Caenorhabditis elegans: one gene and its partner. The protein of the gene in region 1 interacts with the protein of each later gene in a pairwise test. Each region holds a gene or a part of one and is shown on either strand. Other genes may lie near its edges. The genes, in order: F25H2.4 and emc-2.

The links.
Region 2: the proteins of F25H2.4 (region 1) and emc-2 interact in a two-hybrid assay, tested with the Caenorhabditis elegans proteins (3 studies listed by BioGRID).

What each region holds. Positions count from the first base shown.
Region 1 is NC_003279.8:10,549,963-10,553,596, forward strand, and holds F25H2.4 (MPN domain-containing protein), read left to right. Parts: upstream 1-2,009; 5' UTR 2,010-2,016; coding exon 2,017-2,139; intron 2,140-2,445; coding exon 2,446-2,744; intron 2,745-2,794; coding exon 2,795-2,963; 3' UTR 2,964-3,085; downstream 3,086-3,634. Other genes in the region: ndk-1 (Nucleoside diphosphate kinase), read right to left, coding at 3,232-3,546, 3,605-3,634.
Region 2 is NC_003280.10:1,301,715-1,307,966, reverse strand, and holds emc-2 (ER membrane protein complex subunit 2), read left to right. Parts: upstream 1-1,830; 5' UTR 1,831-1,847; coding exon 1,848-1,884; intron 1,885-1,937; coding exon 1,938-2,071; intron 2,072-2,415; exon of another isoform or gene 2,416-2,466; intron 2,467-2,582; coding exon 2,583-2,771; intron 2,772-2,827; coding exon 2,828-2,911; intron 2,912-2,963; coding exon 2,964-3,122; intron 3,123-4,816; coding exon 4,817-4,912; intron 4,913-4,968; coding exon 4,969-5,073; intron 5,074-5,224; coding exon 5,225-5,305; 3' UTR 5,306-5,468; downstream 5,469-6,252. Other genes in the region: alh-6 (L-glutamate gamma-semialdehyde dehydrogenase), read left to right, coding at 1-410, 460-797, 1,366-1,582.

The DNA of each region.
Region 1 (3,634 bases):
GATGCGATTTACTTCATTTTAATATAAATTTTTCCCCAAATAAGCTCGAAATGAGCTCTGAATTTCGGCAAATCTGAAAATTTTTTTTGATGACCAAAAACAGAATTTTGCAAACAAAAATTGATTTTAGAGCAATTTATTGCATAAATATTCAATTTTAGAATTTTTGCTAATAGTTTGAATCGTTTTAAAGAGTTTTAGTCATTAATTTGACTGATAACACAGAAAAATGATTTTTCTTTACAACGAAATCGATAAAAAAGGAAAGCAACATTTATCAAGGGAAATCTTGCAAAATTGGTTAAAAACCTTTTATGAAATCGAAGATTTCACTAGAATAAAGCTACAAATCGATCAAAATCACTAAAAATAAAATAGTTCTGATCAAATTTCAATGTCCCAATCTACCAATGGATCTATGCCACGCCAAATTTCTTATGTAAGTGTTGCTCTCCAATTTTCCTTAAAAAATGGCTCAAATACTCACATAAATGATCAAATTAACATTTATTACAAGTTTCGTGTTATATTTTCTTTTCCTTAATAAGGAACCATCAGATTCTTCCTACCCTCTGCAGCTCTAGATACCTCAACTTCGACAACTCCTATCTACTCGGAGAGGTGAGATACCAAAAAGTGATCAACTGAGACCTTGTAGAGCACATCAAAAACTATGATATTCAATTTAACCTACGTTTTTATCTTTCAAGATGGGGGAGTTAGACGTACATTTGTATTGCATACTTTTTGTTATTATACTGGCTGCTCTAACTCCCTCATCTTAAGAGATAAACACATGATTTTAATTAATTAGTATAGTTTTTGATATGTTCTGCAATTTCTTAGTTAATCACTTTTTGATATCTTGCCTCTCTGAGGAGATAGGAGTTGTCGAAGTTACAGTATTTATAGCTATGCGCATATGAAGAATCATATGGATTCTCATCATGCTATACTACTTATCATCTGCTTTTTGTGGGAAACAATGATTCAAAAATGTTTTTTCAAATGATCAAACAAGTTGTGATTTGATCTGAACATTTAGTGTTGGTTTAGTGAAGATCAGCTGCCAACTAAACAGTTTCCGTTGATTTGTGCATTTTTGAACAATTTCAAGACTTGAAACCGTGTTATTTCTATCAAGCTGACGTTTAAAAATTGGAATCAAACATATTAATGCTTGAAAAAATTTGTTTCGCGTAGAAATTTTGTCATAGAGTTAACTTGTTCTAGTCGGTTCGAAAATCAATGAAAAAGCAGCCAAATCTTGAATTTGTTCAATAAAATGTTTTTTAAAACTTTTTTAAAGCAATAATAATCCCAATATTTAATTATTTTTTCCAAATTTCATCTTGAAAACTCGAATAATCGCGAAATTTCGTCTGAAACTCATTTAATACCGTAAAAGTGTGCAAGCGCGCTCCGTTGGACTTTCCAATTCTCAATTTTCTTAACTCTCCCGATTTGAGGCGCTGTGCTCCACCAATCTTAACGAATTTTCAATCGAATTATTGAGCTCAAGAGCTCTCATCAGGAACTTCATAGATTTTATGTAATTTTTGATTTTCTGTTCCCTAATTTTATGATTATTATCCGAATTAAACTTTAAAAACATCAAAATCATTTGAAATTTCTTGTTTCCCTCCTTTTTTTTATTTGATAAATTTTCTGCGCAAGTGCGCTCCATTGAGAATACAAATGCTCTCTTTGGAATTAACGATTTTTAGTTTATATTTGTTGAGTGTTCGAGATTCTTTTATTGTTTTAATGGTTTGATTCCAGTTTAAAATGTTTCTTAATTTTATTTATTCCTAAAACAATCTATTCATGTAATATAACTCAATTTTAAAGACGATTTTCGAGAGAGAACAACGTTATAACTGTTTTTCTTAATTTATTTTCATTAAACCGCTGTATTCAACTTCTTTTATTGTTCAATACAATCCTGAATACCTAAAATTTGTTAGATGATTTCAAATAATAAACAAAATTCGCTAAAATTCAAGTAATTTGCAGATGAAGCATCAAGTCGAAACACAGGCTCTCCCCTACTCGACAATCATCCTTCACTGCCTGAAATACCCGGCAAAGGGTGTTTTTGGACTGCTGATTGGAAACAAGAAAGGAGACAAAGTCACGGTACAATTTTATTTGTTTAATTCATTAAATGCGAACATTTTAAATTAGTTGATCGTCATGTCGGTACGCTTATTTTCTCCAAAGACAGTCGTCTTTAATACCAATTATCGATATATTAGAATTGCTAAGCTGAAAGCAAGAAAAAATAATTACGCTCTCCACCTCAAAATGATGAACAGTTGCTGAAGAGAGCATAAAAAATACTTTTCTACGTTTTGAGAAGAGTTATGCGATACTAGATTTCTGAGTCAGGGAAATGTTTTAATTTAATGAATTTGCCATCCTATCTGATAATTTATTTTCCAGGTAACAAGTTGTGTTCCTCTTTGCCATGAATCCACTCCACTCGCACCTCCTCTGGAACTTGCCACAGCCCTCGTCCATGGAAAGTTTGGTGCCTCCCTCGTCGGCGTCTATTTCTCAAATGCAACTCCATCGGACACTTCTCTCAACGTTTATGCCACTCGACTCGCCGACAGAATATCTTCTGTTACCTCTTCGGCAGCGATTCTCGTACAAGTGATGAACGAAAGACTGGTGTCAGATTGTGAACAAGACCGCCTCGTGGCATATGAAAAAGATGGAGATAGTTGGAAAGAAACGAAGTAGGAAAAAACATTTGATGTTATATATTCATTTAGTATATTCATTTCAGAACGATTTTCCAAGGTTCCAACTTCTTGCGTGGCCTTCAAGCTGTTATTCAGAAGAAGTTGTACCGAGAGCTTTCCGATTTCGAAAACCATTTGGACAATCCCGAGTTCGACTTCTATAACACAAATCTGAGCAACAAACTCGTGCAAGTGGCGGAATTCAGAGCTTAAAAGCTGAAATTATTATCCTAATTCGTGTTTTCATAACTTATTGCAGTCATCTGAATATATTATATGTTTAATCCCCTTCCGTTTTCGGGTTGAATAAAAGATTTGATGACAGCTGAGTCGTGTAGGATTGGTTGCCATGAAAACGCATTAGAGAATGCGCAGGAATAGATGTCAACAAAAACGATGTTTTAGGTGGGAAGCAATACTTTATCAACATTCAGCAGAGATACGAAAACGGTGAAAACACCGGGAGACATAAGCAATCAGTTTATTCGTAGACCCATGAGTTGATGAATGGGCTGGCGTAGTCGTTGATCTCCTCCTGCTTGAACCAGTGAGCAATCTCGCGGTTGGCAGAGTCAACGGCATCGGATCCGTGGCAGATATTGCGTCCGGTTTGGATGCAGAAGTCTCCGCGGATGGTTCCTGGGGCGGAAGCGAGTGGGTTGGTAGCTCCGAGCATGGAACGTCCTTGCTTGACGACGTCAAGTCCTTGCCAGACCATGGCGACGACTGGTCCAGAGCTCATGTACTCGATGAGGGATGGGAAGAATGGTTTGTCCTTGAGGTCTTGGTAGTGAACCTAAAAATAATAATTTAACTGGTTGGGCCTAAAATTTTGTAATTTCGTGAAAACGTACCTCAAGATGGGCCTTGGAGGCGGTCATCTG
Region 2 (6,252 bases), on another chromosome or scaffold:
ATATAATCTACGAACTCCTCGAGGAAGCTGGTATGCCACCTGGAATTCTCTCATTCTTGCCATCAGATGGCCCCGTTTTCGGTGACGTCATCACCGCATCTCCACACTTGAGCGCTGTCAATTTCACTGGCTCCGTGCCAACTTTCAAGACGATTTGGAGAAAAGTCGCCGAGAATTTGGATAACTATGTGACTTTTCCGAAACTCATCGGAGAATGCGGCGGAAAAAACTTCCACTTTGTGCATCCATCCGCCCACGTGGACGCTGTCGCCGCTGGAACCGCCCGTTCCGCCTGGGAATATTCGGGACAAAAGTGCTCGGCGTGCTCCAGGATGTACGCGCCAAAATCGATTTGGCCAAAGATTCTCGAGAAAATCTCGGCGATTCACAAAGAGATCAAGCTTGGAGATGTAGGCCACTGTTTGGCTTGCCGATTTTTGTGTAGTTTGTAGTTTACAGGTTCGCGATGGATCCGTCTTTCTGTCGGCTGTGATCGATGATAAGGCGTTTGCCAGGCTCAAGGCCTACATTGACTTTGCGAAAACCGGAGCCGACGGAGCAAATGTGGTGCTCGGCGGAAAATGTGACGACAAAACGGGATACTTCATCGAGCCGACCCTGATCACTGTGACGGATCCGAAGAGCAAGCTTCTCACTGAGGAAATGTTCGGACCGGTGGTGACGGTACTGGTCTACGAGGATTCGAAGGTTGATGAGGTGCTCGCGACTGTGAAAGACGCGACACCTTATGGGCTGACTGGCGCCGTTTTTTCGCAGGATAAGGAGTTCCTTTATAGGTTGGCAACTACAAAAAATACAAGTTTTTGCACAGGTTTTCAGGGACTCAAAAATTTTATCTAAAAACCCAGCGGAAAGAAGAAAAACTCGAATTTTCGGGTTTGTTATGTTCAAAAATGCTGAAATTCAACATTTTAGGCACAAGAAAACTGCCAAAAGTCGATTTAAAATTATTCCCGGAAAATTCGAAATCTTGAAATTCTGTTTTTTCGGCAATTTTCAAGAAATTTCTCTATAACCGAACAAAATAGGTTAAAAAATGTCGAAAAACGATAATTACACAATTTCTCCAATAAAAACCCTCGAATTTCGTCACAAATCAAATGAAAAGCTAGAAAAACTGGCAAAAATCGAAAAAAAAAAGCGATAACAACAAACAAAAAATTTGAAAGCGACAGTAAGATGTTCCTGAGCGTGGCGAGACCCAACAGTGAAAGTGTGTGTCCCTTTAAAGGGCTACGGTATTTTTTATTGGAATTTTTGTTGGATTTCGATCGATTTTTCGAGATTTTTGAGGCGAATTTTTGTGTTAAAAACGTTTTTCAACAAAGTGTTTTTTTTTCTCAGAGCTCGCGATGTTCTCCGCGACGCCGTCGGCAACATGTACCTCAACGACAAATCAACTGGATCAATCGTCGGCCAGCAGCCATTCGGAGGCTCCAGATTGTCCGGAACCAATGATAAGGCCGGTGGCCCCCACTATGGGCTCCGATGGACCTCGCCGCTGACGATTAAGGAGACGTCGGTGTCATTGACTGACTGGAAATATCCATCAATGGAATAATTATGTTGTTTTTTTCTTTTCATTTCCGATTTTTCTCATATTGAGAATATAGTTTTCTTTTTGATTAGGTCAACAATTATTGCTTTACCACTGAATTTTAATTTTTTTTCCCCCGTGATCGCATAATAAATTTTGTTTTTTTTCCTTTTTTCCAGCTATAACCGTTTATTTTATAGTTTTCTCGCTATTTTTATACCTTCCAACCGAACTTTTCCATTAAAAAGTTGGAAAAAATCAATATTTTTCAGAAATTTCCCTCCCGAAAATGGTTGAAACCGAGTGGACGCAAGTCTCTTACGATGGTAACATTCTACAATATTCAAATTTTGAAAAAAAAATCGATAAATGCTTGCAGAAGGACGTCAAGCGCTGAAAAAGTGGCGAGAATGCGGAGTTCGACGAAGTGATGAGGTCGTCGAAATTTGGGAGCACGTTATTTCACGCTCACCGGCTTCTCTTGGAGACGAGCAATGGGCTGTGTTGGAGCAGGTGCTGAAATTTTGTCGAAAAACGCTGAAAATCCTGAAAATCTGGCTTTGAATAGAAAAAAACCATAGATTTTCTGGTTTTTTTGGTGAAAAGCATATTGGTCTGCTAGACTACAAACTACAGTATTATATTTAGCAGACCCACGCTTTTTTCTAAGTTATCACGTTTCTGGTTGATTAATAGTGAAAATAATACAAATTTCGGCGAAAAACTGGAAAAAATCAATAAAAACGGTCATTTTTTACTGAAAAAATGATTATTTTCGAGAAAAAATTCAATAATTTGGGTCTGCTAGACTACAAACTACAAATTCATATTTAGCAGACCCAAGTGGTTTCGATGAAATTTGGTCTGCTAGGCTACAAACTACAAATTCATATTTAGCAGACCAATGTAGTTTTGAGGAGATTTGGTCTGCTAGACTACAAACTACAAGCTTCGATTTAGCATACCCATACTCATTTTTCACGAGAAAATCGAATTTTCACCTAATTTTTCCAATTTTTTTCAGGTGTGCATCGCAGCACTCGACGCGGCTCGTGTCGATCTGGCTCAGGATTGCATTGACCAACTTCACGCACAATTTCCGAAGAGTAATCGAGTTTTGAAGCTGAAAGCGATGCAGTTGGAATCTACGGAACATTATCAGAAGGCGTTGGATATTTATGAGCGACTGGTTGAGGATGAGCCCAATAATAATGTAAAAAATTCAGGAAATTTTTTTTTTGCAAAATTTCTAATAATTTGAATTTTCAGAGCTTCCGCAAGCGAAAAGTCGCGGTTCTTCTCGCTCAGGGAAAGCGTCTCGACGCAATTCGAGCTATCAACGATTACCTGAAGGTTTTCATTTGATTTCTAGAAAAAAAAAACTCTAAAATTTATTAATTTTCAGATTTTCCTGAACGACCCAGAAGCTTGGCTTCAGCTCAGCGAGCTTTTCCTGCTCGAAAATGACGTGGCAAAGGCGGTACATTGCCTGGAGGAGTGTGTGCTCATTTCGCCGCTGAATTCCATGTATTTCAGACGATTAGCCGATTTGAGATATACTCAAGTATGTGTGTGGAAAATTGGAGAAATTTGGGCCTGCTGGGGGCTACAAACTACAATTCATATTTAGCAGACCCAAATACATTTTCAATGGAAATTGGTTTTTTCTCGTTTTTCTACTTTTTTTTTTGAAGAAAAAAAATCGAAAATTGTCAGTTTTCCGTCAAAAAAATGTCAGAAAAACAAATTTTCAACGAAAATATATTATTTTAATGCAAAAAATGAAGAAATTTTTAAAAAATATAGAGAAATTACCGAAAATGATTGAAAATTGATTTTTTTTAAGGAAAACTAAAAAAAATTGAACGGTCTGCTACAATGCAAACTACAAAGTACAATGTTCGATTTAGCAGACCCAAGTGATTTTGAAAAAATTGGTCTGCTGGACTACAAACTACAAGTTTCGATTTAGCAGACCCAAGTGATTTCAATTCGAAATTGGTCTGCTAGACTACAAACTACAATGTTCGATTTAGCAGACCCAAGTGATTTTGAAAAAAATTGGTCTGCTAGACTAAAAACTACAATGTTCGATTTAGCAGACCCAAGTGATTTTGAAAAAAATTGGTCTGCTAGACTACAAACTACAATGTTCGATTTAGCAGACCCAAGTGATTTTGAAAAACTTGGTCTGCTGGACTACAAACTACAAGTTTCGATTTAGCAGACCCAAGTGATTTTGAAAAAATTGGTCTGCTGGACTACAAACTACATATTCATATTTGGCAGACCCAAGTGATTTTGAAAAAAATTGGTCTGCTAGACTACAAACTACAATGTTCGATTTAGCAGACCCAAGTGATTTTGAAAAACTTGGTCTGCTGGACTACAAACTACAAATTTCGATTTAGCAGACCCATGTGATTTTGAAGAAATTCGGTCTGCTAGACTACAAACTACATATTCATATTTGGCAGACCCAAGTGATTTTGAAAAAAATTGGTCTGCTAGACTACAAACTACAATGTTCGATTTAGCAGACCCAAGTGATTTCAATTCGAAATTGGTCTGCTAGACTAAAAACTACAATGTTCGATTTAGCAGACCCAAGTGATTTTGAAAAAAATTGGTCTGCTAGACTACAAACTACAATGTTCGATTTAGCAGACCCAAGTGATTTCAATTCGAAATTGGTCTGCTAGACTAAAAACTACAATGTTCGATTTAGCAGACCCAAGTGATTTTGAAAAAAATTGGTCTGCTAGACTACAAACTACAATGTTCGATTTAGCAGACCCAAGTGATTTCAATTCGAAATTGGTCTGCTAGACTAAAAACTACAATGTTCGATTTAGCAGACCCAAGTGATTTTGAAAAAAATTGGTCTGCTAAACTACAAACTACAATGTTCGATTTAGCAGACCCAAGTGATTTCAATTCGAAATTGGTCTGCTAGACTAAAAACTACAATGTTCGATTTAGCAGACCCAAGTGATTTTGAAAAAAATTGGTCTGCTAGACTACAAACTACAATGTTCGATTTAGCAGACCCAAGTGATTTCAATTCGAAATTGGTCTGCTAGACTAAAAACTACAATGTTCGATTTAGCAGACCCAAGTGATTTTGAAAAACTTGGTCTGCTGGACTACAAACTACAAATTTCGATTTAGCAGACCCATGTGATTTTGAAAAAATTGGTCTGCTGGACTACAAACTACATATTCATATTTGGCAGACCCAAACTATATTTTTTGCAGGGAGGCGCCGAAAACGTGGAATTGGCTCGTTCCTACTACGAACGTGCGCTCAAAATCAACCCAACCGATTTGAGATCTCAATACGGAATTCTATTGGTAAGTGTAGTTTGTAGTTTGTAGTTTGTAGTTTGTAGTCTATATTAATGTTTCAGAGCAACAATTTGATCGCGGCGACCACCAAAAATGCGACGGAAAAGAAGAAAGCCGGAGCTGCAGCAGTTGATGCAATCGATAATTTGGTTAATCGTTATCAGAAGGTAGATTTTGATAAAATTAATAGTTTTTAATTGGAAAAAGCTCTAAAAACTCCAAAAAATGCCGAATTTCGGCTGTTTTTTCTTGAATTTTTTGAAAAAAAAATTCGAAAAAAATCGTGATTTTTCTAAAAATAACCTTAAAAAATTCCAGATAAGTCCAAAAAGCAATCCAGAATCGGACGGAATTCTCAATTGCCTCGAAGCCATGAAAGTCACTGTTGGAAGCAAATAAATTGTCAATTTCCTCCCAAAAAATGATATGCTTTACGTACATTCCCCCGAATATTCGATTATTTCCTATTTATTTTCTGTTAAAATTCAATTTTTTTAATGTCTATCGAAAGTATATTTATCGAAAAAAAGAACTCCTCAAGAATAAATAAATGTGATGATTTTTGCCACCGTTTTTGCTCCATTTTAGAGTCTTGGGTCTGCTAAATAGCTTTTTGTAGTTTGTAGTCTGGCAGACCAATTTTTGATAGCAATTTTTAGACTAAAAACTACTTTTTTCTTGAAAATCTTGAATTTTTGCGTTATTTCACATCTATTCCGGTTTTTCCGGCTCCTTTTTGGCGCTGAAATCGATAAGTTGGGTTACTGTAGCCTCAGAAGTACGCAAACACCATGCGACTCACGCAAAAATGCACAGAAACCTGAAAGATGCGCGAAAAAAGCCATACATGGGTAAAAATTTGTGTAGAATTCAATTTTTGTGTCAGAATCGTTTAAAAAATCAGTGAAAAATGATAATTTTCAGAAATGTTGAGCCAAAAAAAAATTATTGATTTTTGTGCATTATCAGTTTTAAATTTGGATTTTTATGTTTTTTCACCCATACGAGACTTTTTCGACTCCATTCGAGTTGTAATAAAAATTTCCGGGTTACTGTAGCCTCAAAAGTACGCAAACATGGAACACTTTACGCAAAAGTGCAGAGAATTCTAAAATTTGCGGAAAAAAGCTGCATAAGGGTAAAAATGTGTGTAGAATTCAATTTTTGATATCAGAATCGATAATAATCAGCGGAAAGTACACAATTTTCGTGCTACAAACTACAAAATCCAATTTTCTCGAATTTTTCCGTAGAATTCCGTATTTTAGTTCCTGAAACTCCCCTAAGAAACAGAGAAAAAGCAAAAAGAGCTCCCTCTTAAGAGGTGCTAATTTGTATAAAAAAGA